7 linked regions of the Ovis aries genome follow. Each later gene encodes a partner of the first gene's protein in a complex. Links are inferred from orthologs where the notes say so. Each region holds a gene or a part of one and is shown in the gene's direction. Other genes may lie near its edges. The genes, in order: TMEM231, MKS1, TMEM216, B9D1, TMEM67, TMEM237 and CC2D2A.

Evidence for each region.
Region 2: TMEM231 (region 1) and MKS1 share a complex: the UniProt entries of both Homo sapiens proteins name them as parts of the tectonic-like complex. The link is inferred for Ovis aries from reciprocal best matches to the Homo sapiens genes TMEM231 and MKS1.
Region 3: TMEM231 (region 1) and TMEM216 share a complex: the UniProt entries of both Homo sapiens proteins name them as parts of the tectonic-like complex. The link is inferred for Ovis aries from reciprocal best matches to the Homo sapiens genes TMEM231 and TMEM216.
Region 4: TMEM231 (region 1) and B9D1 share a complex: the UniProt entries of both Homo sapiens proteins name them as parts of the tectonic-like complex. The link is inferred for Ovis aries from reciprocal best matches to the Homo sapiens genes TMEM231 and B9D1.
Region 5: TMEM231 (region 1) and TMEM67 share a complex: the UniProt entries of both Homo sapiens proteins name them as parts of the tectonic-like complex. The link is inferred for Ovis aries from reciprocal best matches to the Homo sapiens genes TMEM231 and TMEM67.
Region 6: TMEM231 (region 1) and TMEM237 share a complex: the UniProt entries of both Homo sapiens proteins name them as parts of the tectonic-like complex. The link is inferred for Ovis aries from reciprocal best matches to the Homo sapiens genes TMEM231 and TMEM237.
Region 7: TMEM231 (region 1) and CC2D2A share a complex: the UniProt entries of both Homo sapiens proteins name them as parts of the tectonic-like complex. The link is inferred for Ovis aries from reciprocal best matches to the Homo sapiens genes TMEM231 and CC2D2A.

Annotation. Positions count from the first base shown.
Region 1 is NC_056067.1:2,328,834-2,332,306, reverse strand, and holds part of TMEM231 (transmembrane protein 231), read left to right. Parts: intron 1-1,530; coding exon 1,531-1,612; intron 1,613-2,709; coding exon 2,710-2,815; intron 2,816-3,174; coding exon 3,175-3,355; 3' UTR 3,356-3,473. UniProt on the Homo sapiens protein: Transmembrane component of the tectonic-like complex, a complex localized at the transition zone of primary cilia and acting as a barrier that prevents diffusion of transmembrane proteins between the cilia and plasma membranes.
Region 2 is NC_056064.1:8,840,019-8,844,704, reverse strand, and holds the start of MKS1 (tectonic-like complex member MKS1), read left to right. Parts: upstream 1-1,652; 5' UTR 1,653-1,674; coding exon 1,675-1,754; intron 1,755-2,255; coding exon 2,256-2,365; intron 2,366-3,587; coding exon 3,588-3,655; intron 3,656-4,093; coding exon 4,094-4,249; intron 4,250-4,686. UniProt on the Homo sapiens protein: Component of the tectonic-like complex, a complex localized at the transition zone of primary cilia and acting as a barrier that prevents diffusion of transmembrane proteins between the cilia and plasma membranes.
Region 3 is NC_056074.1:36,444,729-36,449,467, forward strand, and holds the start of TMEM216 (transmembrane protein 216), read left to right. Parts: upstream 1-1,526; 5' UTR 1,527-1,554; coding exon 1,555-1,591; exon of another isoform or gene 1,592-1,605; intron 1,606-2,178; coding exon 2,179-2,280; intron 2,281-2,387; exon of another isoform or gene 2,388-2,406; intron 2,407-2,413; exon of another isoform or gene 2,414-2,575; intron 2,576-2,581; exon of another isoform or gene 2,582-2,717; intron 2,718-2,839; coding exon 2,840-2,932; intron 2,933-4,739. UniProt on the Homo sapiens protein: Part of the tectonic-like complex which is required for tissue-specific ciliogenesis and may regulate ciliary membrane composition.
Region 4 is NC_056064.1:33,859,912-33,864,538, forward strand, and holds the start of B9D1 (B9 domain-containing protein 1), read left to right. Parts: upstream 1-1,583; 5' UTR 1,584-1,603; coding exon 1,604-1,666; intron 1,667-3,016; coding exon 3,017-3,085; intron 3,086-3,834; coding exon 3,835-3,946; intron 3,947-4,627. UniProt on the Homo sapiens protein: Component of the tectonic-like complex, a complex localized at the transition zone of primary cilia and acting as a barrier that prevents diffusion of transmembrane proteins between the cilia and plasma membranes.
Region 5 is NC_056062.1:83,418,933-83,423,529, reverse strand, and holds the start of TMEM67 (meckelin), read left to right. Parts: upstream 1-1,555; 5' UTR 1,556-1,570; coding exon 1,571-1,796; intron 1,797-2,001; exon of another isoform or gene 2,002-2,020; intron 2,021-3,462; coding exon 3,463-3,551; intron 3,552-4,597. UniProt on the Homo sapiens protein: Required for ciliary structure and function. Part of the tectonic-like complex which is required for tissue-specific ciliogenesis and may regulate ciliary membrane composition.
Region 6 is NC_056055.1:203,944,925-203,948,973, reverse strand, and holds part of TMEM237 (transmembrane protein 237), read left to right. Parts: coding exon 1-8; intron 9-291; coding exon 292-483; intron 484-1,792; coding exon 1,793-1,866; intron 1,867-2,522; coding exon 2,523-2,616; intron 2,617-3,041; coding exon 3,042-3,163; intron 3,164-4,049. UniProt on the Homo sapiens protein: Component of the transition zone in primary cilia. Required for ciliogenesis.
Region 7 is NC_056059.1:111,348,484-111,352,532, forward strand, and holds part of CC2D2A (coiled-coil and C2 domain-containing protein 2A), read left to right. Parts: intron 1-1,695; coding exon 1,696-1,827; intron 1,828-4,049. UniProt on the Homo sapiens protein: Component of the tectonic-like complex, a complex localized at the transition zone of primary cilia and acting as a barrier that prevents diffusion of transmembrane proteins between the cilia and plasma membranes.

The DNA of each region.
Region 1 (3,473 bases):
AAGCAGCTCCTGCCTCAGGGCTTTTGCGCTTACCTTTTCCTCTACCAAGTACCCACATCGCTCACCCTACTGCTCCGTCTGGCCCCTGGTCAAAGCTCCTGAGCACAGTCCTTGCTCGACACGCCTTCTAAAGACCATCCACCTGACCCTCCATCATCGCTCACCCAGGTTTACTCTGCTTACCTTCACCTGAAATATGAAAGGGAGGTTTCCAGTTTGTTCATTTGCCGTCTCCCTCATTGGTAAAGGGGCTTCCCTTGTGGCTCAGCTGTAAAGAATCCGCCTGCAATGCAGGAGACCTGGGTTCGATCCTTGGGTTGGGAAGATCTCACGGAGAAGGGAATGGCTACCCACTCTAGTACTCTGGCCTGGAGAATTCCATGGACTGTATAGTCCATGGGATCCAAAGAGTCAGACACGACTTTCACTTTCAGTGGTGAAAGCCCTGCTATCTTCTGTGTTCTCTCGCTCCAGTGCTTAAAACAGTGCCTGCCCATAGTAAGCACTCAGAATTGATGAGAGAATGAACTCTCATTTCACACATGAGGAACCTGGAGGCTACAGGGATTGATTAATTTTCCCAAAGCCCGCAGAGCCATGAACGGTCTGAGACCAGGACTCATGCATCCCATCCCTCATCACAAACCTTTATGTTATCACAAGGAGGCCCATATAATTTAGGCTACTTTTGAAAGTTAATAGGAAATGTTATCAGTTATTATAACCAGGACTGTCCCAGATAAACTGGGATTCATGGTCACCATAACCATAACCATTATCAACATACTATTTTTTTTTAACAGGAGGGACTATAAAATATAAATTTAATATGCTGTGCTGTGCTTAGTCGCTCAGTCTTGTCCACTCTTTCCGACCCCATGGACTGTAGCCCACCAGGCTCCTCTGTCCATGGGGAATCTCCAGGCAAGAATAACTGGAGTGGGTTGCCATTCCCTCCTCCAGGGGATCTTCCCGATCCAGGGATCAAACCCAGGTCTGCGCACATTGCAGACGGATTCTTTACCATTGAGCTACGAGGGAAGCCCATGTTAGATTATGTCAGGAATGTGATGCTAGAGAACAGCTCTTTCTTGTCTTCAAAGGATTATGTGCTTATTACTATGTGCACTTTATCTTTCCATTTCTGCATTTCAAAGGGATCAGTTAGGGAGCATCCAGACAAAAGCAAGAAAAAAGACAAAGGGGTTGAGAATGTAGTCTCTTAGAAAAAATGAGAAGACTCATTTGTCCCATTGGAATAGAGAGGGGAATTATATAAGTCGCTTTAAAACCTGTGAAAGATGGATATTGACCCCTTGTTTTCTTCCCTCCAGAAAGAAAGACTGAAAGTAAATGATGTAAACTGTTTCAAAAGAGTTCATTCATTTTTGAAGAAAATATTATCGATGCTGGAGTAGGCCCCCAAGCGCAAGAGGGTGGTCTCTGAGATCAGCCTGGGTGGGAGGGGGGTAGAAAAACCAAGAGCGCAAGCCGCTTGTGTGCTCACACCACGCCCTCCCGCGCGCCCAGGTGTCTGTCATCAACGGGACCAGTCCGTTTGCCAGTGACTACGACCTCACCCGCATTGTGGCTGCCTATCAGGAAAGGAACGGTGAGTTGTGTGGACAGCTCATGCATCTGCTTCTCAAGGACTTTGCAGGTTAATGAGGGTATTGGAGAGAAACAGAATTAGAGCCCTTGTCATATCAAAATGTCGAGACCAGTGAATGCTCCGCTGTGGAAGGTGAACAGGCTGCTCAGAAGTTGTTCTTTTCCTCCTGACCCAGAGACCTACCCCCTAACTATCCCCTGCACTGCTCCTCTGGTCCCGCAGGTTAGTGCCAGTTCACTGCTGTATTTGTCCCACCACTGGTTGGGTGGGTTTATGTGTAAAGATAGGCGAGTTGCTTCCCACACCACACCTGTAAGAAAAGCCGAAGACAGGCTGCTCTCCATAGTGTTCATATGGAAACGGAGCCTGAGTGACTCACCGCGTGTCAGCAGCTAAAGGAGGAAAAGGTACCCACGATTCTGGCTGAAAGGCAGACGTGCCCAGGGCCTCCAAGAGGCAAGACCGCCAGATCGTCCCTGAGTGTGCGCTTGACTCAGCATATCTGGCTGCTTGGTGGTCTGAGGTTTCCTCTAAAGGAATCTAAAGCATTGCCTGGCAACCAGACATAGATACGATACACAGACATTTAATGAGTCGGGACCGCAATTCCAGTATTTTCTTTCTGGTTTCCAAAAATAAAGGAATTTTAGAACACGACTTAGAAACATTTATCTGTAAATCAGCTTTTCTTCCTTAATTCCTTCCAGTTATTGTCCATATGCAGAGTTTTTATACAGCTCCTGTCACAGTTTAGAAACAGTTTTTGTCTTCTGTACTTTGTAATTTAATATTTCCCCCACACCGCTAGAAAGTTTTCATTGGTTTTCTTTTTAGAGGTAGCATAGTATTCCTTTGCTTAGCCATTCATTTGTTTAGACAGTTGTAGAACACAAGCTGTTTTTAACATCCTTTGACCAGTGTTTTAACAAATACTATGTGAGCAGCTTTGAACATTCAATTTCTCTTTCCTTTTGAATTATTTCTTTGGAATGTGTTCTGAAATGCAGAGTTGGCCTGAGAGGTCAGAGTATGTTACAGCCCTCAGTATTTTATTGCCAAAGAGAGCATTCACGGATTAACTCCTCATTGTTTTGCAGTAACCACCATCCTGACTGACCCCAGCCCCATCTGGCTGGTGGGAAGGGCTGCAGAAGCTCCATTTGTGGTTAATGCAGTCATCCGATACCCTGTGGAAGTCATTTCATATCCTTTCTGTTAAGGGGCCAACAGTAGCTTGGTTTCAAAAAAGAAAAGAGGGATTCCTCAGATGTCTCAAGAGGGAACAGATGTGGGAAGCCTCAGACTGGAAATTGCTGCAGTGGTAGTCCCCCACAAACGACTCTGTCTGTCTGCAGTTCATACGGGAAAAAAATATTCATTTCCTGTCCTTTTGAGCAATTCTTCTAGGTCAGAATCATACATATTTATATCTTAATAATCTTTGATTGTCTCTTTTATCTTAAGGGTATTTGAAACATTTTTTGTGATTTTCTGTATAAACTAACCCTTTGGTGTAACATGTATGTAGAAAATGTCATCTGTGACTCCTTAACTGTTTGTACTTATCTACCAGGATTCTGGGAAATGATAAAGTTTGCCTGGATCCAGTATGTCAGTATCCTACTTATCTTCCTGTGGGCGTTTGAAAGAATCAAAAGATTTGTGTTCCAAAATCAGGTGGTGACCACAATCCCTGTAACAGCTGTGCCCCAGGGAGAACTGTATAAGGAGCATTTCTCATAAGAAGACCCTTCTGAAAACTCTAAGCAAGACCGTGGCCACCCCTCTGTTGTCTTCTGAGAACTGCCGTCTTGCAGAATTTCTGAAGAGTCCGTGGCCGCTTGCCCCCGTGTGTGCTTTT
Region 2 (4,686 bases), on another chromosome or scaffold:
TAGCACAGTCAATTTAGATCGTCAGTTTAAGGTGTAAAACCATAGCTATATTTCCCTGTGTTATAAAACATATCTCTTTCTTATTTATTTTATACATAGTAGTTTGTAACTCCTAATCTCATACCCCTATCTTGCCACTCTCCCTTCCCTCTCCCTGCTGGGTAAGGGAATCAATAGACCCCTTCCTTGAACTCTGCTCATGGACCCCAGTTTTAAGAATCCTGATTTCTATCAGTAAATAAAAGGAATAAAAATATAGTTTACCTGTATAAAAACAATTTAATTATGGTTCTTAGACAAATCACCTATATTTGGATGTCATGTGATACAGTACTTTGCTTATAATTATGTCAGGTTGACTTTGCTCTAAGTTAGATTTGGTGTAAAATGAAAGTTGGTTCAGGCTCCAACTTTATCATTGGTGGTTCATATGGCAAAATGTTGCCTATTCACAATTTTAAAAGAAAAAATTAGATTTATTTTTTTTCTTAAGAACTGATATTCTGCCTTCATGGTTTCACCTGTTGAAATAATTATTACCATTTCCCAGGTTGGGAATTGTGTGCTCTTACAGAATAAATTGGTAGGTGAGGCATTGTGAAGAAAGGTGGAAGGTGTTCATGCTTCAAAAGACAGGCCTGGGCTGGAGTCTCAGCTCCTCTACCACTTACTCCAGTTCAACCTTTAAGTTCTGGCCTTCAATAACTTCATTGGCTATGAGAATAACAAATACCTACTTAAGGGATTTCTAGGAGGATTAGGGACAATATAAACAAGGAGCCCTATTAGATCTTACATAAATAGGGCTATTGTTATAGTGAGTCTTTAGCGTTATACAAGAGCAGCTTTGTTGCTGATGGCTCCCAATGCCATATAATCAAATTGGGTTCAGGGGACAAGAAGCAGCAAATGACAAAGGCTGATAACTGTTGCCATCCCCAAGGTGCCAGAGAGCCGGACTCGAGGTTACAGGTGTGTTCCGCCTTTGGCAGCCCAATGCAGAACGTCTTCAGGATGGCGTTTTATTGACTTTCTCAAGGTCAGTGCGGTATCTAAGGTGGCTTAAAAATGGGGAAATAACACATGCAGGGGAAAAACCAGTGCAATAATGACATCTTTTCCTTCCTTACTGCTAGCTTCCTTGTTTCTTTTTTCTCTGGTTCAGTGAATGCCAACGCAAGGATTAATAAATCTTCTGACGTTTTTGTTTGCTTCCAAGAAAATACTTTCACGTCTGGGTAACTGTCTTCACCTCCCGTCACTCCTCTGGGAAGAATGGGTGCATCCTGTGAGTCCCCGTTAACCGATTCTGAGGCCAAAGTGTCCCAGGATTCAGTGTAAGACTGCGATGTGGTGGGAAAAGTAGTCGCTGAGAACTCAGGACACTCGGATTTGGGGCCCACGACCATTTCTGTCCGAATCTACATAATGGGGGCCGACAGCGCTGCTTTAGTTTCCTCATTCGTCAAGCGCATCCACCCCGGCCTTGGGTGTGAGCGAGCTTTGTTCGCACTAAAGACCAGTGGCAACCCCGCAGGACCACCCCAGCCGCGATGGGCGGGGCTTCTGCCGCGCCGCCTAGGGAACCGGGTTCCAGGTTCCGGACGGCGTCTCAGTTGCCAGGGGAACCGGGGCGGTGCGCTTTCCGGCGCAGTCGTGCGCGGCGCAGCTGTCATGGCGGAGGCCATCTGGAGCAGTGACACCGGAGAGGCCGTGTACCGATCCCGGGACCCCGTGCGCAACCTCCGCCTCCGGTAGTCGCATCACCCCAGAGCCCCGTGCTTTCATGCTCTCAGATGATTGGAGCCTGAATTACACTTCTCCTTTGCTGGGGCCCTCATTTCCTTTTGCAGTACCGACCGCTGTCACCCCGGTCTCCTCGCGTTTCCCTCACTACCTGGAACCCTCTTCACTCGCAACTTCCTAGACTCACCCTTTCAGGACCCTGTTGCTGCTGCTGCTAAGTCGCTTCAGTCGTGTCCGACTCTGTGCGACCCCATAGACGGCAGCCCACCAGGCTCCCCTGTCCCTGGGATTCTCCGCCCCCCAAATTCCTCAGAGCCCTGTCTCCCTGCAATACACTCTCGCATCCTCTCCTCCCTGGGGCCCCATGCCCCCTGCCCTCCCCTCTGTTGCCTGCATCCGGCCACATCTCCTGGTAGCCATAATCTCTTCAGTGTTTTGTTCCCCATCCTTGCTGTGTCTCCTGCTTGTGTATCTTGTAACAGTATTTTGGGCCTCTCTTTTCCTGGCAGAGTCCACCTGCAAAGAATCACATCAAGCAACTACCTCCATTGCCAGCCTGCTGCCCAGCTGGGGAAGGATCTCATAGACTTGGCCACTTTTAGGCCTCACCCAACGGCCAGTGGGTGTATGGTGGTGATGCGGCCCCTTGGGGATCTGGGGAAGGGCCTAGGGCGGAGGTTACTTCTTAAGACAGAGTAGACCCAGGTCTATAGTCTGAGGTATAGAGAGGTTGGGTTTCTTGTCCAAGGTCACCGGGCTACTAACTGTTGAAATCAGAATTTGATCCCAGGCAGTTTTAACTACTACATTATGTTGTGTGAAAATTGAATTCAAGAAATGATTCCTATCATCAAGAAGCTGATCTGAACTGTGGTTAAATGTAGTGAAATAGCAAATACCGTGCTTTGGGTATATTATAAATTTACCTCTAAACCCAAATGCCATTTCTGACTTTTTTTTTTTCTTTTTTCTGAGAAAATAGCACTCCAAACTTGAAACTTAGAATATAAACACTTTTTATAAACAAGTTAAACATTTGGGTCTGCATGGTAAATGCACTTTTTTTTTTTAACCTTGCTGTGTGGCATGTGGAATCTTAATTTTCCCTGTAGCGATGGAACCCATCCTCCCTGCAAAGCAACCATGGGACTACCAGGGAAGTCCCAGAAAATGTACATATTAGTATTATCTGTGTTCTAGCCTTTTTCTTTCTCTGAGAAGCCAGAAAACTAAGAAAGAGAAGACAGTGTGTTTGTGTTAGGTCACTAGTCTCTTTGCTTTTGTTGTTTCTGTTCAGAAATATTTCTGGGTAAAAGTGTGAGCTGGTGGGTTTTGAAGCATATATCTTTGGAAAAGGCATACTCATCTAGGAGTGTACATACTGGATTTGGTTCTTAAAAAGAAATCTGTTATATGTCTTTCCTTTTCTCTCTTAATACTTGGCCTCTTAAGGTTACAGTGTTTGTGATTCTAGATTTATGGCTTCAGAAATATTGAAGATAAAAATGCCATGGTTCATAGCAAATGTAGACAATTGGGATTGAGAAAGAGCTGTTTAGCCTATATCTAAATTTCAGCTCTTGACTCTGAATTAGATTAAATAATTCCTGGAGGACGTGATTTCTTTTATTAAAGTTAGAGGGGTGATTAAAACTTCATGGGTCTTAACCTTGGCTTCTGCACATATCTACTGCCTCTCTAGAGTGAGTACATCATAATCAGTGAACTCCAACTGGTTTTGTGGCAAATATAAGAGCACAGACTTTGGTTATAACCAACCAGAGAGCAAGAAGTGGTGCTAGTTGGGCTCAAACATTTGACTCACTCTGTTTTCTTTGGAGGTGGACACCGCCCAGAGGAAGAAGAAGAGGAGGCTGTGATTGGGTGGCAAGAGAAGCTCTTCAGTCAGGTGGGCTAGTGTCCCTGTCTGCTCCATCTCCCTGCACCCTGCCCACGTCCACCTGCCTGGTCGCAGGGAAAGGTTCCTGATACATATCACCAAACTGACTTCCAGAAAGGTTACAACAGTGTATGCTTCCCACTGCTGTGTGTACGGGATCAGTGTAATGCAGTGCCTGCCACTAGCCAGTTTTATGATCTTGAGTAACATGCTTTTTACCTCTGGGCCGCATACCGAAACAGCAGAATCACTGTCTTGGTATGTCAGTTCTATAACAGCAGAATTGAGTTAGACTGTCGCTCTGGTTCCTTGTAGCTCTAACCTTCGTTGGCCTTTCTGTCCTCCATCAGTTTAGATAAAACATCATGACAAATGGTATTTGACCAAACAGTTGTAGTGACAAAATTAAAATACTCTCAGTGGAACTCTGTTTCTTTGTGACCTCAGTTTGAAGTAGATCTGTACCAAAATGAAGCCGCCTGTCAGAGCCCTTTGGATCATCAGTACCATCAAGAGATTCTGAAGCTGGAAGATTCAGGTGGCAGGAAGAACCGACGGATCTTTACCTACACTGACTCTGATAGATACACCAATTTGGAGGAGGTACCATTCTTTCCCAAGTAGACAGACTCAGGTAGACTTAGCCATGCTCTGTAGCTCCCTTCACCTTGGTTTCCCCTGGCTTTCTGGCCTCGTGTTTTAACTCAGAAGCATGTTAAGTGAGCCTGTCTAGGAATTCCCGTGTGTTTCTGGCAGCCAGGCTGGAGTAGGTAGGTGGGCACAGCCTGTGGGTGATGTGGCTGCTGCTCCCTGCCCGATCTGCTGGAGGGACTGGGGAGCCAGCAGTGTCTCTAATGCTAGGCTTGCAGACTGCACATTGCGGGGAGCAGCCACTAGGTTTGATTTCCCCCATGCATCATGAGATCAGACAGGTGGATGGCATCTAGAACCATCTAGATTGAATTCATCATGGGATTCAGCCAAAACTGAACATACACATTTGAAGAGGAATTCAGTACTGTATAGGGAATGGCTTATGT
Region 3 (4,739 bases), on another chromosome or scaffold:
TGGAGGAGCCTGGTAGGCTGCAGTCCATGGGATCGCGAAGAGTCGTACACAACTGAGCAACTTCACTTTCACTTTTCACTTTCATGCATTGGAGAAGGAAATGGCAACCCACTCCAGTGTTCTTGCCTGGAGAATCCCAGGAACGGGGCGGGGGGGGGGGGGAGCCTGGTGGGCTGCCGTCTATGGGGTCGCACAGAGTGGGACATGACTGAAGCGACTTAGCAGCAGCAGCAGCAGAGGGACGGGGAGAAAAGAGTTACTGTTAAATGGTTACAGAGTTTCTCATTGCCATGATGAAAAAAGCTTTGAAAATGGTGGTGATGGTTACCCAACATTGTGAATATAATTAATGCCACTGAATTGTACACTTGAGTCACTCTACTCAAATTACCTGGTTTGAGTGTGCCATGTTTTCTGTCCTATCCTGACAGTGGCTGACAGTCAAGTCAGCCTCAGTCCAATCAAAACTCTTCTTTCTGCTTCCCTGTGGGCCGTAACACATGCTAACTGCTCCAAACCATAATCAGGTTTCAAAGCCCAGTTCACCAGTCATCTCTTGAAAACTTCTCTCAGTTCCCACCTAGAGTACTTTGTCTTCCCAACTCCCATGCAAGTCAGGGGTCACGTGGTGATCATGTTTCATCTTCCCGGTCTTCTTTATGCTCCTCGAGAGGATCCTCTGCCTGCCTGCTCAGTCGCTCAGTGAAGTCTCTGCAATCCCAGGGTTGTCTAGCCCGCCAGGCTCCTCTGTCCATGAGATTTCCCAGGCAAGAATACTGGAGTGGGTTGCCAAAGGAGCCTCTAGTTCTGATTAATTCTGGTGTCTTCTAAGTACCTGTTTGATAAATCGGACGCACTAAATCCCCTATTACCCTCCCAGAAAAGACTGCTTGCTAGACAAAAGACCCCAAACGCCAAACCGCATTTGCAGAGCACTTTTGTGCATTATCAGACCGTTGTTTGGGATTCCCTCGTGGCTCAGATGATAAAGAGCCTGCCCTCAATGCCGGAGGTCTGAGTTCGATCCCTGGGTCCTGAAGATCCCCTGGAGAAGGAAATGGCAATCCACTCCAGTATTCTTGCCTGGAAAATCCCATGGACTGAGGAGCTTGGCAGCTATATGCAGTCGATAGGATCACAAAGAGTCGGACACGACTGAGCGACTACACTTTCACTGTTCTTTTTTCGTGTATTGTCAGACCGTTAGTGAAGAGAATCGTGGCGCTACAGCCTATTTGGCAATCCTGTGGTCACATTACCACTACTGGCTACTTCTGCAGATTCATTGTAAACTTTGGGTGGGGAAGCCCAACAGCTGCTCCCAGCCCTAGGGGCCTACGGACTCCAGCTCGGGGGGTGGCCCCTGTGCTGTCGAAGGTCTCCAGACAGAACCCCAGTGAAGGCCATTTGCGCGCACCGGCGGACGCACCAAGACGGCCTTCGCACCAGGCAACCATAGAGTGTGATGGGCGGGCAGAGAGGCCAGAGTCTCGGGCCGCTCTGTCCCCCGCTTCCGGCAACGCCTCGTTGCTCCAGAAGTAGAGGTAGCCGCGTATGCAGTTTCCATGGGGACTGGAGATGGCGCCGCGAGGTGAGATTACGGAGGTGTGTGAGTCGCTGGTCCTGATCGCTTCTATATTCCATTCCTTTCTCTCCCATTGCTCGACTTTTATAAACCCTCTATTCTCGGGTGTTATGGACATCACTTCTCGCTTGTCCAAAGCAGGGTCTAGCAGCTTCACCCTCCCTGAGTTCCTGAAGGTCTCGAGGTGCGGGTCTTAGATTCCCTCAAATTCTTGGCCAGGTCTGTTCTAGGCCAGCTCAGTTACAAATTTGCAGTGTGACTTCAAACAAGCCAGTGCTGGCCTCTGCACCCCATTTTCCCTTCCCAAATAGTGACGAGGTTAGATCTTAAAGGGGCTTTGACTTTCGCGCCCGAAGCCCGGAGTCAAGTTTAGGGGACACTCTACACACAGAGAGAAACCCTACACACACAGACACCCTACACACACACTCTCTCTCTTTTTCTCTCTCCTCATCAGCAATCAGAAGTGCCCCAAGTAGCCCTTTCCATTAGCTGCGACCTCACTTTTCCTTCGTTAGACACAAAACCATTGAAATAACTGAGGTTGAGCTGCCCTCCAGCCCATCTCTTTTTCTCTGTGCTCACATTTTCAGGTAAACGATTGTCCTCCACCCCGCTGGAAATTCTTTTCTTTCTGAATGGGTGGTATTATGCTACCTATTTCCTGCTGGAACTCTTCATATTTCTGTATAAAGGTAAGGCCTGGGGATTGACTACCCTTGCCCACATCCCTTCCCCACTTCAGGGCAGAGCCAACTCCCACCAAAAACCTTCCTATTTTTCATTCTTTTCTGCCCTCTAGGGAACCTCTTCACTGTAAGGTAGAAGTCTCTTCATCAGCTGACTTCTTGAGAATGATTTAGTAGGAAGCTCCTGGGCAAGAGTTTGTTGAGTTTGGGAAATGTGGGATTCTTCATTCCAACTCTCCCCCATCACCTCTTGCTGAACTCCACTTTCAGCCTGTTGATGAGCCTCGGAAGCTATTCAGCGGTCTGTGTACCCATGTACAGCTGATAATGGTGGAGGGTGGAGTCCTCATAGACTGTCCGAGTTATGAGTAAAACCCGATAACAACATGCCTGCCTCTAAAAGAGATGCAGCCACAACAAGGAGTTAACACATCCTGCATCAGGTTAACAGATGCTGCCCACACCTCACTAAGTAGCTCATGGACAGCTGATGAGACTCGCGCGTGTGGGGCTCTCCTGCGCACTGCTCTGTGTTGTTTTCAGGCTCTGACTTCTGTGTTGGCAGGTCTCCTGCTCCCGTACCCAACAGCCAATCTAGTCCTGGATGTGGCGATGCTCTTCCTGTATCTCGGAATTGAAATAATCCGACTATTTTTTGGTGAGTGTTTGTCCAAGAATATTTCCATTCTTTCTGAGATGAGCTGGTATCCGTAACCTGATCAACAAGGAAAAGTACATAACCTAGGCTCACCAATCAAGAGATTGGATCTGGTGGTATATCCCATTACTCCCTCTCTGAAGTTTCAAGCTGCTTCATATTTTGGGTCAAGATGTATCTGTCTGTTGCCCGGCAGGGCCAGAAGTGGGCAGTGGCATGATATTAGACAATTTCTTCCCAGTTGTCTAACTGTTACAAGAGTGCCTTGTTCCTCTCACTGGTTTGCTTGGGAGAATAGATTCAGCTGTAACTCCATGTCTGGGGCAGGAGATGCCTGCACAGGTCAGCACTAAGATCCCCTTCATTTTTCTGAACAAGGATTTCTCTAGGACAAGTTTTGTATTCCTGGAAGTACAGAGCAAGCCCTTTTTAGTTAGAATATGTCATCCCTGAAAATGTTCTTTAAACACACTGAAGAAAAAAAACATACTTTAAGTACATATCACAGTGGATAAAGAAAGCTCACATAAAATGCTAAGAAAAAAGCTAGTTTTAAAAATGAGCAAGGGAGGGAATTCCCTGGCTGTCCAGTGGTTAAGATTTCAAGCTTCCAACTCAGGGGGTAGGGGTTTGATCTGTGGTTGGGGAACTAAGATTCTGCATGCTGCACAGCGAAAAAAAAAAAAATTAGCAAGCGACCCTAATGGGCAGTTCACATAAGAATAATTACAAAGGACCAGTAACCATGATAAAATGCTCAAACTCACGAACAAAAAGCAAACTGGAAAAACACGGTAACATATTCACCCATCGGATTAAAAAGATTCCCAAATGCCCCGTATTCAAATAACCGCAAGAAACAGTATGTATGGTCTCACACTCATGTGAGTATTTATATTCCCACACCCCTGGGAATAGAAATTAGTATAACCTTTTTTGCTAATGGTTTTACCAGGTAAAATGTATATTCTTAGACATTAACAATTTCCCTTCTAAAACTGGCTGAAAAAAACACACTTCTACAGATACACAAGTATATCTGTATGAGGATGTATTGCCATGTATTTTTTGACATCAAAACCTTAGAAACAACCTAACACCTATCAATACAGGACTAGTTAAATTATGATATTGGTTCAATGAATTGTTCATAGCCATTAAAAAAGGTAGTTAGGTGTGGAAAGAGTTACGATAGAGTAAAAGGTAGTTAATGTGGAAAGACGTCTAACCATGTTAAATGGTTAAATAAGTTGCCAAACGGTATGCAGAGTATGATTCTACTTTTACAATAATGAAAATAATAACACGTGACTATACACATAAAAAATGTCTGAAACAGTATGCCTCATTCTGTAATAATGGCTTTCTCTAGAGGGTGAATCATGAGGTCTTTTAATTTCTGTATTTTCTAAAATGATTTTCTATATATTTTTCTTTTTTTTGGCCATTCCATGGGGCACCTGGGTTCTTAGTTCCCTAACCAGGGATTGGACCCATGCTCCCTGCAGTGGAAGCACAGAGTCAACCACTGGACTGCCAGGGAAGTCCATATTTTCTATATTAATTGACAAAGTGTTCAATGATTATATATTATTTTTATAATTAAAAAGATCTTTCCTCAAATAAAGATCCCATTGTTTCTTCACTGGGAGCAGGACCTTTCTGTGAATGACTCTAATCTCACAGCCGCTCCAAAGCCTCTTGTTTTTAACACAGTGGGACCCTGTTAATAAAGTTGCACATCCCCATTCAGGACCATTTGCCTCTGCTTGCCAGTCCATCCCATCCCACCTGCCTTTTCCTCTGA
Region 4 (4,627 bases), on another chromosome or scaffold:
CAGGAAGGGAAGCAGCAGCAAAGGTCCCAAGCTGATGGAGTCCTCGCTCATCTCTGTACCTATACCTCTGACTGAGTCCCAGTCACCTTGCTCTGAATCTCCTTCCTCTTTTGCGCAACGCCTGTTGTTCAGTTGCTCAGTCGTGTCGGGCTCTTTGTGACCCCATGGACTGCAGCATGCCAGGCCTCCCTGTGCATCACCAATTCTTGGAGCTTGCTCAAACTCATGTCCATTGTGCCACTGATGCCATCCAACCATCTCATCCTGTTTTGTCCCCTTCTTCTCCCGCCTTCAGTCTTTCTCAGCATCAGGGTCTTTTTCAATGAGTCAGTTCTTCACATCAGGTGGTCAAAGTATCAGAGTTTCAGCTTCAGCATCATTCCTTCCAGGAATATTCAGGACTGATTTCCTTTAGGATGGACTAGTTGGATCTCTTTGTTGTCCGAGGCACTCTCAAGAGTCTTTTCCAACACCATACTTCAAAAGCATCAATTCTTTAGCACTCAGCCTTCTTTATGATCCAACTCTCACATCCTCCATACATGACTACTGGAAAAACCATAGCTTTGATAATGAGCAACGGAGACGTATTCACACTCCAGTACTCTTGCCTGGAAAATCCCATGGACGGGGTAGCCTGGTAGGCTGCAGTCCATGGGGTCGCTACCAGTCAGACACGATTGAGCGACTTCACTTTCACTTTTCACTTTCATGCATTGGAGAAGGAAATGGCAACCCACTCCAGTGTTCTTGCCTGGAGAATCCCAGGGACGGGGGAGCCTGATGGGCTGCCGTCTATGGGGTCGCACAGAGTCGGACACGACTGAAGCGACTTAGCAGAGTTGGCAGCTAGTACAGCAGACGTACTCAATTATCCATCCACTCCACTAGCTGCCACCAGTGCTCAGGCAACCGGGACACGGGGGTGGCCCAGACCCGGTGTTCGTGGCGTAGGGCTCAGGGGAGAGGCGGCACTGGCTGGAGCTATCACAGTAATCGATGTGCAAAAGCGAACAGTGGGGAGCGCTGAGAGCAGGCGGACGGCCGAGCCCCGCGGGCTCGCCCCTCCCCGCCGGCAAGGTGCCGGGGCGGCCACTCAGAGGCCCGTTTTCCCGCGTCACGCGGAGACCTGCAGTCTTGGGCTTAAGGACCTTCCAGGTCCCTTCTCGGTTGGTCTAATAAACTTTTGGGAGGCGAGGGTCTCAAAGGCACGAGGGAGCATCTGTAGACCCGAGGCAGGGAGCTGCTGGCCCCACGGGGACTCTCGGAAGCGCGGCCGGACCCCGCCCCTTGGCGGCCTCGGGCTCCAGTCACACACTCCAACCGGCAGCGCGGTGGTCAGAGCGGACACACATTCCCGGGCGGTGGCCTAGGTCCCGCACCACCAGCTACATTCACGCGGGGTTCCTCGGGCGGACCGCCCCTCAGACGGACCAGGCGGCTGAGGCCCGCCTCCCACCGCACAGCGCCGCTCCGACTGCGCTTGCGCGCCGCGCCTTGTGCGCGTTTTCCCGAAGCTCCCGCTTCCATGAAACTTGTCCCGTGCGCCACGCCGTCGTCTCCAGGGCAACCCGGCGCCTCCTAGTAACCGCGCGGCCCGGCTATGGCGGCCGCGGGCCCCAGCGTGTTCCTGCTCATGGTCAACGGGCAGGTGGAGAGCGCCCAGGTGAGCGGCCGTGAGTCCTCCAGGGTCGAACCTCGGGGGAGGGAGCTAGCGTGACAGGCTTGGCGAGAGATCGCGCGGACCCTCCGCCACGAAGTGCGGTGGGGAAAAAGGCCTGGAGCGTTGAGCCAGGCCGAGGCCACAGTTGGCCGAGCCCACGTGAAGATTCGGGCAGGGGCCTCCATCCACCCCGCGACCCTCAGCTCCTCCCTCCGGCGCGGGTTGGTCTGACACAGCGATGGTGGCAGCTGTCCTGACCCGGAGGCTGTGTCTGTCCGACGGAAGGGGACAGTGCTTTCCAGTCCCCTGCATGTCCTAAGAACCGTTTGTTACTACTGGAAGACATGACATATGACAGTCTTCATGCCCAGCCCCGCTCAGCCAGTCCTCACAACAACCATTTGAAGTAGGTATTACTTGCACCCCCATTTTACAGATGGGAAGTTGCCCAAAGGAAGTGGCAAAACGAATTTCAAACCTTGTCTGATGTCAAAGCTTTGCTGGACTTGCCTTTCCAGGCTGTTTTAAAAATATTATGATTATATTGTGAGTACTAACCAAGGTGGTCTAGGTAAAGCTCCGTGGGATCTCTTAGCGGGCATCTCCCGCCTTCCTGTTTCATCAGGGTCACTGCCCCATGCCCCCACCCTGTCCACCTCCCCTTGGCCTGGTGCCTAAGGCCAGCCTCTCCTGTTCTGCTTTATCCCAGCAGGGGCCTCAGCTGGGCTGGGTCAGTGTGCCTGTGTTCTCAGCAGCCCCTCATCCCCACTCTTCCTCCCCTCTGCTCGAGGCCACTCTGCAGGCCATTGGCTCCCACCAAGCTTTGTGTCCTGGGAGCACCTGTCTTCTAGACCTTTCACTTCAGCATCACTCCTTAGTGCCCACCCTGTGCCAGGTGCTAGGGACACAGAAAGCCCACATACCTGTCCCTTGTTCACAGTCTAATGGAGCTGAGAGAATAAACATGGTCAGTGCTGTGATGGAGCACCAGGGGCTGTGGAAGCTGGGATGTGGCTCCAACAACCTGGAAGTCGGCAGGCTCCCCAAAGTGTCAGTTTTGAAGGGTGAGCAGGAGTACTCCCAGTGAAGGCATTCCTTCACTTCTCATTAGAAGGGCACGTCATACAGATGTCAGAGCCTGAGCAAAAGCCTGGGGGCAGCACTGTCCCTGGACTATCCCACATCTTGAGACCAGACCTTCCAATGAACTCCGTATCCATGCACCCTGCTCTCTCAGCCCCCGCCCCCTAGGTGCCTCATGTTCAGAGTTGCTGGTGGCTGTACCTGCCTAGCTAACAGGTGGTCACAGCATGAGTCCCTGTGAGCAGAAGCTGTGTGTGCTTATTTCCACAGTTTCCTGAGTACGACGACCTCTACTGCAAGTACTGTTTCGTGTATGGCCAGGACTGGGCCCCCACAGCGGTAAGCTGGACCCTACAGCCTCCCAGACTCACAGCTTTTGTGACTGAAGGGGTTTCTGAAGGCTCCATTGCACCCTTTCCCCTCCCAATTCAGAACCAGTTAAGAGTTCAGGGGTGGCACACACGTGAGTTTGTTCCCAGTGAGGCCGGAGCAGAGAATGCAGAGATCCCTGATCCACCCCTAAGACTGTGGTCGCTCCTGGGCCCTGCCCTGCAGCGAACAAAGCCAGACCAGCCCAGCTCTGCTGGGGCCACTTGCCTGAGAGGGAGACAGACTCACGCTCCAGGCTGTTGGCTAGTAGCGGTGCTGAGGGGAAAGTGAAGGCAGGAAGGGGAGGGATGAAGAGGCCAGAAAAGGCCTCCTTAAGACAGTTTAAAAAAAAAAAAAAAAAGATGGTAACTGAGCGTAGAGCTGAAGGAAGCAGGGGGATGGGCCAAGTAGAAGGCTGTAGAATAAACTAGCCAGGCAGAAAGACAGGGGAGAGGGCAACAGCCTGCTGGACCATACCCTATTCCGCAGGAGGTGCAGGTGGAGCTTGGGCACCGGGAGAGGGGAGGGGCCTCAAGGTTTCAGGTCCTAATGGATAGAAACCCTCAAAGACCTGGGAGCCACTCTGTCACATCTTAGGTCCCTTTGTTTGGCAGAAGATGGTGATGAAAACAGCTCTCAGCTGCCACCTCAGAGGTAGGGTGGGTGGGCATGGCAGCCTGGAGCTGGGACACTGGCCGTCACTGTCATTGTCCTTGCAGGGGCTGGAGGAGGGCATCTCACAGATCACCTCCAAGAGCCAAGATGCGAGGCGGGCGCTGGTGTGGAACTTCCCCATCGATGTCACCTTTAAGAGCACCAACCCTTACGGCTGTGAGTCTGCAGGCCTCGTCCTGCCCATCCATGGGGCCCTCTACCAGCCTTGTCAGGTGCTATCAGACACCTGGCTGTTTTCCCCTCCTTCCCACTGTGTGCACTTGACCTTTCCGAGGTTCTGAGGAAGTCGGTGAAGCCCAGCGTGAAACCTTGGGCAGTGACTGCCTGCGAAGGTCAGAGCCTGGTGTCTGGGGCTCAGCAGTCTGGCCCCTCAACAGCTCTCCCCCGTCCATCACCACTGTGCTCCCGCCAGTCCCGACCCCCCTGCTCCTCCTCCAACACCCTGCCCTGAGCCAGGGGTAGGCCCTTCTCTCTGCCATGGGCACCGAGCCCTCATCCTACCTCTGATCTCCCAAAGTTCTCCTTGCCAATATCTGCAGGGTTTGTTGTCCACTGTACCTGGTCGTCTGTGATCACTCTCACTTAATGAATGTTAGCTGCGTGCAGAGCCTAGCTTGCTCCACAGAGTTGTGCGTGCTTTCCACGCGTGGGCTTGGCTGAGCTGTGAGATACTATCGAGAAGGCAGGCTTCTCTCCACCTTTTCTCCTGTTTAGGAAACCAAGACTCAAAACAGTGGCATCATTTGCCTCAGCTTCACCTTGAGTAGCTGAGCACGGATCTGATTTCATAGTGCAGGCCTTCATGCTGCATGCAGCTGGCGCCCAGGCTTAGCAGGT
Region 5 (4,597 bases), on another chromosome or scaffold:
GGTTAATAAATTTATCTAAATTTTTAGACATATTTTCCCACAGGTACTGAGAATATTGTGTGTGTGTGTGTGTGTGTGTGTGTGTGTGTATTCTCCTTAATAGTAATAAAGTCATTTCAAGGTATACTGATGAATAAGGTGGTTTCAAAATATGCCAGTTTTATTGGGGAGGAAGGACAAAATAAAACAATAAAACAAATAGAATACAACAAAAGCAGAAATGAAATTTAAATATTAAGAAACAATTTTTTCTTTTATGACCCAGAAACTGGCTTTGAAGGTAATTCTAAAATGTTTTGGGCCCAACAGCCTCTAAGAGTGCCCATTTTGAAAGACAGCAATCATGCATGTGTATATTTGACTTAAACAATAGATTCCTTCTTTATTTACAACTGGACTAAAGATCTCATTTTATGAACATGATTTCTATGCTCAAAACAAAGAACATAGAAACACACAAAAAAGGTCTGTCAGGAAAGATCTTTTTTCAGTGAAGTGAAAGTCACTCACTCGTGTCCCACTCTTTGCAATCCCATGGAGTGTAGCCCACCAGGCTCCTCCATCCACGGGATTTTCCGGGCAAGAGTACTGGAGCGGGTTTCATTTCCTTCTACAGGGGATCTTCCTGATCCAGGGATTGAACCCTGGTCTCCTGCATTGCACGCAGATTCTTTACCAAGCCACCAGGGAAGCCCTCTTTTTCAGTGCTTGAGCCAATCGTCCAACATTACATATTTCAAATCTGTGGTTTTTTCCCCTACTTTTTGGACAAGTGTATCTTGACAAATACATTATTGGGTGTGTCCTTTAACATGAAAATGACCATAAGTTTTATTGTAAATATCATTTAACGACTTAATGAAACAATACTTTTAATTTGTGTGATAAAATCAGATATTTTCTTGGCTGCGGTTACCTATTTCGCGACTTCTGAAATTGATTTCCCGTCCCGGAAACGGGTCGCTTCATAGAATCTGAAGTCTGGTCGTGCCTGCCAGGCTACAGGGTTAGCTTGCCTCTAACTGATGCTTTTGAATTGCGGTGTTGGAGAAGACTCTTGAGAGCCCCTTGGACTGCAAGGAGATCCAACCAGTCCATCCTAAAGGAAATCAGTCCTGAATATTCAATGGAAGGGCTGATGCTGAAGCAGAAGCTCCAGTACTTTGGCCACCAGATGTGAAGAACTGACTCACTGGAAAAAACCCTGATGCTGGGAATGATTGAAGGCGGGAGAAGGGGACGACAGAGGATGAGATGGTTGGATAGCATCACCGACTCAATGGACATGAGTTTGGGTAAACTCCGGGAGTTGGTGATGGACAGGGAGGCCTGGCGTGCTGCAGTCCATGGGATCGCAAAGAGTCGGACACGACTGAGCGACAGAACTAAACTGAACCGAACCCGTCCTTTCCCAGATCTTCAGATTCCCGCAGCTTTTGGTAACCTAGCAACCAGGAGAAGCAGGCCGACATTTCCGGAACACCGGGGCGCCGCGATCCAATCAGCTCTGCAGAGTCGCCGCGGAGGCTGACGGGCCGCGGGAGACGGCCTGGCCGCCGGCGTCTGCACCATGGCGACGGGAGGCCGCGGGCGTGTAGTGGCGATGGCCGCTCGGTCCACTCTGTCGGCTGAGAGTGTGACTCTGTTCCTCTTGCTGGTCCTCCCTCGCGTCTCACAAGCTCAGACCTTCTTTTTCCCTTTCCGGCAGCCAGAGACGTGCGGCCACAACCAGTACTTCGATATCTCGGCGCTCTCCTGTGTGGCGTGTGGCGCCAATCAGAGGCAGGATGCCCGAGGTGAGACGGCTCGGGACGGGCCCTGGCCAAATGAGCAGCCCCGCCTTGATGCTGTGCCCAGATCCCGGCCCCGCCTTGATGCTGTGCCCAGATCCCGGCGTTGCTGAAACATCTTTTTTTTTTTTCTTTTTTCCTGCGGAAAGAATGTTTCAGAAAGGTTAACTGCCAACGCCTGAAAGGAGGGTCTTCTTGAAGGATTGAGGCTTTAACGCACAACGGAGGAGGTTGGGGAAACCTTGAGTCGGCTACCCGCTAGGCCTCGTAATGAATTTCTTGGCTCCAGTCATTCAATCAGCGGGCCCTTAGGGAGGCCCCTGGAAAGCTGACTACCTAAGAAAGCGAAAAGGAGAAGTAATCTTTGGGGTCGCAGAGAGTCGGACAACCAGGACTGTCTGAGGTGCTAAGAGCAGGTGACAGGACCTGTTTGGGAAGGAATGCAAATAAGCGCTCGTAAACTTTGGTAGTTTTGTTTTTGTTTTGTTTTGTTTTGTTTTTAATCTCAAATCTAGAAATGTAGAGCTGGAAGGGACCTTAACCATTTATGGTCCAGCCTTCTCAATTTATGGATTAAAAAATGGAAGTCCAGATGAGGTCGTCACGTCTTCTTTGTCCTGTAAATTGGAGACAGGAAGAACTCCTGTATCTCTTTGCCCTCTGCCCTCTGTATTTCCACTATACAAAATGTCCATAATAGTATAGATTTCCTTAGTACTTAGCCCTTTCATTGTTGAATATTACTAATTCCCTCCAAAGTATCTTTATATTAATTTTTTTTTCTTGAGATGTTCATCATTCATCCTAGTTGTCCTTTGAAACTGCTCAGGATAAGACGTTCCCCGTATTCTAAAGTCTAGGATGTTTTTAATCTCAGTTTGGTCACCCATGGTATTAACTTTCTGCCATCTTGAAATTTGGTTTGTCTTTAAGTCATTGTGTAGGACAAGTCAGGCTTCTCAGGTGAGGAAGTAAGAAGAAAGCATTTCCCAGACTCATTCTATAAAATGTAAGGTTCATAGTCATGCACCCTGTTATCATAAGCATTCTACTACATGGATTCCTATTAAGTATCCACTTAATGCCTTCTTAGAGAATGCTGTCCTTACCTAGCCAGCAAATTGAATAGTGATTATCTTATAAAGTTTACTTTAATCTTTCCAAACAGAGGAAAACAGTGATTTATCTTGGTAACTTTCCTAATAAGATTTTGTTTTGACAGAATTTGAATTCAGTGAGTATATGTGTATGGTTGGGTGAAATAGACATGTAAAATCTCCCATAGCGATTAGTCAGTAGTTTGGTTATTAGTTTAATATTTATAATTTAATAATTTATTTATGCTTGCACTTAAAATTATAGCAAACACAATACCTAGTGTATGCCAGACACATTGTAAGATATAAATATAACACCTTAATATGCTAATAATATGACTAATTTAGTACTTATATTAACCCCACAAGGTACGTACTGTTCCTAATTGGAAGCCAAGGCACAGAACAGTTCCTTGCTCAGGGTCACAAAACTAAGCAGCAGAATCAAGGTCAGAACCCAGGCAGTACTGGCTCCACTGTCTTGCTCTTAGCTCCTGCTTCTCAAGATCTTAAGAGTTATTAAAATTTTCCTATCTTGGAATTTTATCAAGGTCAAAATTGGCTCTTCTTTTTAGGAACTTCATGTGTGTGTTCACCAGGATTTCAGATGATTTCTAATAATGGAGGACGTGATATTACTTGTAAAAAGTGCCCAGAACACATGGTATGGAGTATTTATTTTTTAAAAAAATCTTACTGTAAAAAATAGCAAATATCATTTTTTAAACTGTAATTTAATGCTGTACTCTAATATTTTCCCACAGACTTTAAAATTATTAAGCCAGCTTTGTTTTTACTAGAGTAAATTTTGGGAGATCGGTGAAATTTTGCATACTTGGAGAAAAATAAAAAGGTATTTTTAAAATCTGAAATTAAAAAAAAAAGCCATATTTTGTTTATTTCTATTTCATAGAGAAACTACTTTATAAAGGAAAATAGATGAATGAATGATATATAGCGTGAGTTCAGTGTCTTAGACTTACTGTGTCAACAGTTTTACATAATGATTCATGTTCATAATGATACCTGAGTGATAAGTTCATCAAATGCCAATTTCATCACTAAATAAATAATACCTGATGCTGTTTTATTAATCATTTCATTATATCATAATTTTTGGAAAATTAATGTATTGATAGTTACTATATATGATGATTCTTGATTAACAGAAATGTATCTTCAATCATTTTGAATAATAAAGAGTCTTAGTGTGGCAATTCTAACTTTCATAGTAATATTTCTTCTCATTTTTTTTCAAAATGCAATATTACCTCTTCTCATTATTGTATTTTAAAAAAATTTAATCTGGGAATTTAATATTTACCATTTGTCCTGGTTTATGACTAGTACTTATAGGTTTGATGATCATTTTCATACTTGAAGTTTTAGGAAATATTGACCCTAGCTGAATTATGATGAGCAAAAGGTACTAATATGAAATGGTGCCAAAGTAGACTAATTTTTCAGTGATGTTACTAAGCTTGGGGGGCTTCACTGATGGCTCAAGTGGTAAAGAACTCACCTACAATACAGGAGACACCGGAGATGCAGGTTCTATCCCTGGGTTGGGAGGATCCCCTGGAGTAAGAAATGGAAACCCTCTCCAGTATTCTTGCCTGGAAAATCCCATGGATGGAGGGATGGGAGAATCAGATATGACAAAGCACACACACACACACAACTAAGCTATCATAATTTTTAAATAGTCCT
Region 6 (4,049 bases), on another chromosome or scaffold:
GCTTTCCGGTGACTGATTTTGTTGGACTTTTCTAAAGACAAATGTTCCACAATTTTTTAAGTATTGATTGTTCAATACTGTTAAAAAATTGACAGCTTAAAATGGTGGGTGCATATATTTTTCAAACATTCAATTAGAGTTAAATGATCTGCCTATTAGTATAGAGAAAAGAAAAGCTTGTTTTTACCTTTTGTGAAATGTTGAACTTTGTTCTTACACATGAATAGATTCAAAGAATGCACTTTTTGCTTTAGTCTTTGGTGTATGTTAACAAAACCGTTTTCCATTCAGGATGATTGGTGTCTTCTCCCATGGCTTCCTGGCTGGCTGTGCTGTGTGGAACATTGTTGTGATCTATGTTCTGGCAGGAGATGAGCTTTCTGACCTCTCAAACCTTCTGCAACAATACAAGACATTAGCATATCCATTCCAGAGTCTTCTCTACTTGCTTTTGGCTCTGAGTACAGTTTCAGCCTTTGACAGGTAAGACTGTTGTGACCGTAGGCTCCTCTAACTTTCTTCAGAGGGAAGTGTTGAGCAAAATGTGTCCCTGAAAAACTATGACATTTTCAAAATAGAATTACAGGATATTAATATTATTTTGACTTTTTAAAGAGCCATTCTGTTTCTGTTCTTTTTGAGGGGAGGAGATGGGACTATTGTGAGCAAAAACATACCCCAGAGTCTTAACCCATTCAGCATCAACTCTAAATCCAAAATTTCATCCAAATATAATCAACTCAAAAAGTCCCAAACATACACATTGCTGTATCTATAACCAAAAGGGACCTATTGTATAGACCATGGGACTCTGCACAGTGTTATGTGGCAGCCTGGATGGGAGGGGGGTTTAGGGAAGAATGGATACATGTATATATATGGCTGGGTCCCTTCTCTATTCACCTGAAACCATCACAACGTTGTTAATTGGCTATACTGCAATACAAAATAAAAACTTAATTTTAAAAAAAGACCCAAATATCTTCCAGTGCACTGAATCAGGTATAGTCAAGACTCTGGGTACCCCAGTTTCCTAGGGCTGCTGTAACAAAAGTACCACAAACTGGGTGGCTTGAAACAATAGGAATGTGTTCTCTCACAGTTTTGGAATCTGAAAGTCTAAAACCGAGGTGTTGGCAAGGTTGGTTCCATTTTAGAGGGATCCATGGAGAGTCTATTCCTGCCTGTCCCTTAGCTTCCAGTGGTTTCTGGCAGTCCTTGCTGTCCCTTGGCTTGTAGACGCGTTACTCCAGCCTCTCCCTCCGTTATCAGATGACAGTCTTACTTGTGTGTCCACGGATCTGTGTCTCTTCTTGTAAAGACACCAGTCTTCCTGGATTAGGGCCCCTTGTAATGGCCTCATCTTAAGTTGACTACATCAGTAAAGATTCTGTTTCCAAAGAGGGTCACATTCACAGGTTCCAGGGTTTAGAAGTTCAATATGTCTTTCTAGGAACACAATTTAACCCACTAAGAAAACAACAGCTTATCACTCAATAGTATGAGTAATAAAGGGAAGTAGAATCTAATAAAATGGCTGATCACGTTTGTTTCTTCTTAATGCTAAAGGAATGATAACTAAAATAGTCTTTAGTTAAATGTTTTATGTGGCCTTTGTAGATAAGATTTTTTCATGTGTGTTAAGTATAAACTGTAGCTACTTAAAGCTTCATAATAATGTGGTAGCATTAAAATAGAGAAGAAAGAAACTGTTGTCTAGAGACTACAGTTCTGTACAGTTTTGTAAGAAGTTTACAACTACACTGTGACAAGAGGCTTTTGTATTTTCTAGGATTGACTTTGCTAAAACGTCAGTAGCAATCCGAAATTTTCTTGCTCTGGATCCAAGAGCTTTAGCATCTTTCTGTAAGTAAATAATTTGATAACTGTGTAAATTTGAATCAGAAAAAAAGTATAATTTTATTTAAAAAATGATTTTATATTATTGCTACCTAAAACAATTCACATCAATATTCAGTGGAATTTGTAATTAAACTATGGTAGGTATAATTTTGATAGAATTATTTTTTAGTGGAGGTTTAGAATTATTTTTCAGTGGAGGTTTAGAATTATTTTTCAGTAGAGGTTATCTAACTTTTTAAAGTTTATTGTTCTGTATTACTTTTGTGTTTTCTACTTGACAGTAAACAAATAGGGCTGATAGGGCATTTTAGTAACAAATACTTTTTTTTTTACCTTTTTGGTAATTTGGTGTAAATTTTGTTCTAATTATGAGAATATTAATAAAACTAATTTTAGAACCTTGAATCATTTAATTTCTTAAGTGATCTTCTAGATTCTTGTCAGTCTAATGATAAAATAGTGAGTATCTAAAGCCCCTTCTCTACCTGTATTGAAAAATAATGTAAGACTATCCAGCCTATTGAAATTGACCAAATGAAAATTTTTTATGTCATCATTTCCCAAAGCTCAGATTATTTTGACCTTAAAGTTATTTATAAATTCCAAACAAACTGGGTTGTTAAAAATACATTATTAGTAATTCATTTGTCTTTTCTCAGTGTACTTTACTGCTCTTATATTATCTCTGAGTCAACAAATGACAAGTGACAGAATCCACCTTTACACACCTTCTTCTGTTAACGGTAGCCTCTGGTAAGAATTCATAGTAGCACTAGTAATTGTTGATCGTAATAATAGCAACAGTGGGCGGAATGGTGCTATTCTTGTCTTTTCACTCCTTTACTTGTTTTCACCTATAAATAGTAATGAGGGCCTTGTTTTTGTTTCTAAAATTGTGGCCAAAAAAGCCCCCTATTCCTTTGGTTAATGGATAACTATTGTTATATACTCTTGCATTTTTAATGAAAATGTTTTGTAAACAATGCTTTAAATCTTTTTAAGTTATGGTTTTAAAATTCTCATGATATATATAGTGTATTTCATAGGGAAGTTATATTTTATGCTTGTTATTCCTCTAGATAAGGATGGCTAATTTTTTTTTAAGTTTATAAAATAGATATATCTGGATATTTGGATCACAATGAAGACGTTTCTGATGAGTATTTCTTTACCTCTAGGGCAGAAGGAATTGAGGAGCAGGTTCTTCAGCCATGGATTGTGGTGAACCTGGTGGTGGCCATTCTGGTTGGGTTATCTTGGCTTTTTTTGTCTTACAGGCCAGGAATGGATCTTAGTGAAGGTATTAAAGAAAAAAATAGTATAAATACATCATAAAATCTTCTATAATGACTTCATAAATCTTCTTTTAATGGATATAGCATTATGTCATTTATACTTTATAGTATTATAACATTTCAATAACAAAGATGCATTTAAAGTAACCCAAGAAGTATAACAATAAAGTGGTGAAACTGAATGCTGCAAAAAACAGGAGTGTGTAGGGGAGCTGGCGTCTTGGAGCACTTAATGAGGGTTTGCGCATATTTTGGAGATATTTCTCTTCTTGGACCCTTTCAGGTATTGTATAGAAAGTCTTTGCTCTTCCTTTCTCTTAGTCTCTTTCTGATCAAAGTATCTCTTGCTACTCAGTCGCTAAGTCGTGTCCGACCCTTTGAGAAACTATAGACTATAGCCCTCCAGTCTCCTCTGTCCATGGGCTTTTCCCAGCAAGAGTACTGGAGTGGGTTGCCATCTCCTCCTCCAGGGCATCTTCCCGACCCAGGGATTGAACCTGCAGTTCCTGCAGTGCTTCCTGCATTGCAGGCAGATTCTTTACCGCTGAGCCTCTGGGGAAGCCCATAAATTTGAAATAAATGATATGCTTCATCTGTTAGCCTCTGCTAGATACATATTCAAGTGAATTTACTCTTACCTCCTCCTCTGCCCAGCACAAATTCTTAACCCTTCATTGTCTAATGAAGTGCTTAGCGATCTTTAGTGTGCCCAGAGTAAAGTGAGATTTACTACTCTGTAGTCTCAGACCCCTTTTGGAACACCTGAAGGAGAATCACATTTGCAAACTGCTAGTCTTTCAGCATTGCTCTGAGAACAGCTTAGTGTTTGTATTGTAAGTTGTGTTTCCTGGTAGATGTTCCACAGTTTCATCCTTGAATCTATTTGCTGTT
Region 7 (4,049 bases), on another chromosome or scaffold:
GTCTTGAAATTTTCACGAATATCATTTCCCTGGTGGTCCAGTGGTTAAGAACCCGCCGCAAATGCAGGGACACAGATTCAATCCCTGGTCCACGAAGATCCCACATGCCACAGGGCAACGAAGCCAGCACACTGCAACTACTGAGCCCACGCTCTAGAGCCTGGGAGCCACTGCTACTGAGTCTGTGTGCCTAGACCCTGTGCTCTGCAACAAGGAAGCTGCCGCAATTAGAAGGCCCAGCACTGCAGCTACAGAGTAGCCCCTGCTCACCCCAACTAGAGAGAGCCCCTGCATAGCAACAGAGATACCAGTGCAGCCAAAAAACTTAAAAATAAAATTTAAAAAATTGTTTAATAGGAAATACGTTTTTTTAAGCACTCCTTTGAAAGTGAAAGTGAAAGTCGCTCAGTTGTGTCTGACTCTTTGTGACCCATGGACTGTAGTCCGTGAAATTCTCCAGGCCAGAATACTGGAGTAGGTAGCCTTTCCCTTCTCCAGGGGATCTTCCCAACCCAGGGATTGAACACAGGTCTCCCGCATTGCAGGCAGATTCTTTACCAGCTGAGCCCCAGGGAAGCCCAGGCACTCCTTTAGCTTTTTCTTAAACTTATCAGGAGGGGGCTGAAAACTATATCTTAATTCTGGGGGGCATTAGCGAAGACTCAAATTTTAAACTTTTATTGGAATACAATCGATTTACAATTGTGTTAGTTTCAGGTGGATATACATATAGGCACTCTATTTTTTTTTTTTAAATTCTTTTCCCATATAGGCCATTGCAGAGTACTGAGTAGCGTTCCCTATGCTATATGGTGGCGGTGGTTTAGTCACTAAGGCATGTCTAACTCTTGTGACCCCATGGACTGTAGCCCACCTGGCTCCTCTGTCCATGGGATTCTCCAGGCAAGAATACTGGAGTGGGTTGCCATTTCCTTCTCCAGGGGATCTTCCCGACCCAGGAATCTGAGCCAGCTGGTGGCTCAGAGGTTAAAGCCTCTGCCTCCAATGCAGGAGACCTGGGTTCGATCCCTGGGTGAGGAAGATCCCCTGGAGAAGGAAATGGCAAGCCACTCCAGTATTCTTGCCTGGGAAATACCATGGATGGAGGAGCCTGGTGCTACAGTCCACGGGGTCGAAAAGAGTCAGACACGACTGAGGGACTTCCACTTCCACTTTCTTCACCAGCTGAGCTATGAGGGAAGCCCATGCTATACAGTAGCCCTGTTAGTTATTTATTTTATATATAGTAGTATGTATCCCCTGGAAACCATAAGTTTATTTTCTACAGCCACGACTATATATTTCTGTTTTGTAGTAAGTTCATTTGTACCCTGTGTTTTAGATTCCACATATAAGCAATATCATATGATATTGGTCTTTCTGTGTCTGGCTTAGTGAAGACTCAATTTCTGATAGAAATCGGGACTTTAAAATGTCTAGGGAGTGGGAGGTGGGAGAGAAGTTCAAGAGGGAGGGGACACATGTATACCTATGGCAAACTCATGTTGATGTGTGGCGGAAACCAAAACACTATTGTAAAGCAACTATCTTTAATTTAAACTAAATAATTTTTTAAAAAATAAAAGATCTACAGGACAGGGGAAGGTGCATGACATAATACATGGTGACAGAGAGTTTCCCCACAAGCGCTGTTTATTTTTGTAAACTATTTTCTGTCCTTCTGCTTGATCCTAGGGGAGGAGATGGTTTGGAGATGACGGGAGGATCCTGGCACTGCCAAACCCCATCAAGCCGGTTCCTTCGCGACCACCCATGTTTACACAGGCGCAGGACATTAAGCCAGAACTGGAAACCCTGTATAAAAAGGTAAACCTCCCCCTCCCATTTTTAATACATGAATTTACTTGAAAGTGCTTTGCTTTTTGAAGGGATTGGAGTGATGAATTTGCAACATCCTATTCTGACTTTTCTTAACTAATTCACTGTCTTGCACATAAAAAGGAAACGGCAAGCCTGTTATATAAGACTGAGCCTCCTGCCCACACCGAATCCTTTCTTAAACCCTTTCTTACATCAGCAACAAGCTTCCCAGGTAGGAAGGCTTGGGTCAGTGTCTTTATGCCCATGTCCAGGTTAGCTGCCCCAATATTTTCTCTTTTCTCTCTGTCATCTCACATATACTGCAGGGTTATTTCCCCCACTGTCTCTGTATTATATCACTGGAGATTTTCTATCCTCACAAATCCTTTCTATGGTATTTTTCCCAGCTCTTTTACCACACTGCCTGGCTTGAGTCCTGGCCCTGCCTCTTGCTTGGCTCACTTGACCTCCCTCTCCTCTCTCTGCTGGTGTTTCTTCCTTTGCAAAATGGCATCGGCTTACTAGGATTGTTGTGCAGATGGTTGAGATAATACATCAAAGTACATAGAACAGGCTCAGTGAGGTCTGACCGGCTGGTGTTGAATAGGCAGTTGCTTGCCTTCATTTCCCCCCCACCCCCCAACAATAAATGATTATATTTATTAACTATCTTTTAAAAAAAGTATCAAATAAATATATTCTGGGGGAAAGAAGCTATATTAAAATTAAAAGAATTGCTAGGCTTTGGTTACATATTTCTTTAATATCAGATACATTCTTACTAAAAATTCAGATAAATCTATGAACACATAGTGACACTAGAGATCAGAATAATTGCTTTTTTAATGTTTCCAATTTGGGTCAACATAAAATGACTTTTTACTATGAAATCACTTCTAAGCTTTCAATCCATGTCCCTTAAACATCATATCATGGTTTTTGTTTGCTGTATTATCATTACAATATTATTATCAAAACTTACAACTTATACATCTTGTCCAGGACCACAATTTCCAACATTCTTTAGCTTTAGTTTTGTATTTATATGAGTTTAATGATGCAATTTATGCTTTTTTACAATCTTTCTGTTCCTCAAGGATTTTGTTTTTCTAAATTTTTTAGCTGACAAATATTTTGTTTCTGTGTCTTGGAGCTTCTGTTGTTGTTTCCTTGTTTTCCTAAGATATATCCATATGTACTTGGGCTTCCCAGGTGGCTCAGACATTAGAGAATCTGCCTGCAATGCAAGAGACCTGGGTTCAATCCCTGGGTCAGAAAGCTTCCTTGGAGAAGGAAATGGCAACCCACTCCAGTATTCTGGCCTGAAGAATTCCACGGACAGAGGAGCCAGGCTGGCTACAGTCCATGGTGTTGCAAAGAGTCAGACACAGCTTAGCAACTCACACCCCCACACACAATCCAGATGTACTTATTCCTTAAATTCTTGTGTATTAAGAAAGACCTGTCTTATTTTCCCTTGTTTGTTTTTATTTCCTTCCTTCATGTTGAATTATATTGCTCATGCTCTCCTGAAATGTAGCAAGGATCACCTCCTTCAGAAACTTGTGTAATTTGAAATGTGTAACATTTTGACACTGCTAAAGGCAAACAGAATAAGAGGATACAAGATCATCCTATAAAGCTATAGAACTGTAGAGCTATAGGTGACGAACAGAGAAGACATGGACCCAAATCAGAGAATCTGAGCTGGGTGTCTACTAAGCTGTGGCTTTGGGCATCTCCCTTGACTGCTGTGAAGATGTTTCCTTAATTAAAAAATCACCATAATCTCTACCTCATATGGCCATTATGAGCTTTGAAATGATATATGTGTTTGCCCTTTTATTAAATTGTGAATTTCTATAAAATATTGTTATCACAGACAAATATTAATGAGTGGCTACTCTGTACAGAAATGTGGACCCTAGGAGTGGATTTACAAAGCAAGCATAAACCCAAGCCCCAGGCCTGAGGGATTTACCATCTACTTGCTTTATGACAAAGATACATGATATAATTAGTGATCTAGACAGTATCAACTTGTACCTAATAATCCATCAGTTTCTTTCTCCATCCATCCATCTGCTTCAGCATGAAACATTGATATAATGAAGCACAAATTTATGGGCTAAAATTAGAAAATAGAAGAGTCGTTACTATGGAGAGTAGGGTCTTGAGGGAAGCCGTTAATCTCATCTGTCGCCTTCAGAAGCTCTGAGCTACTTGGG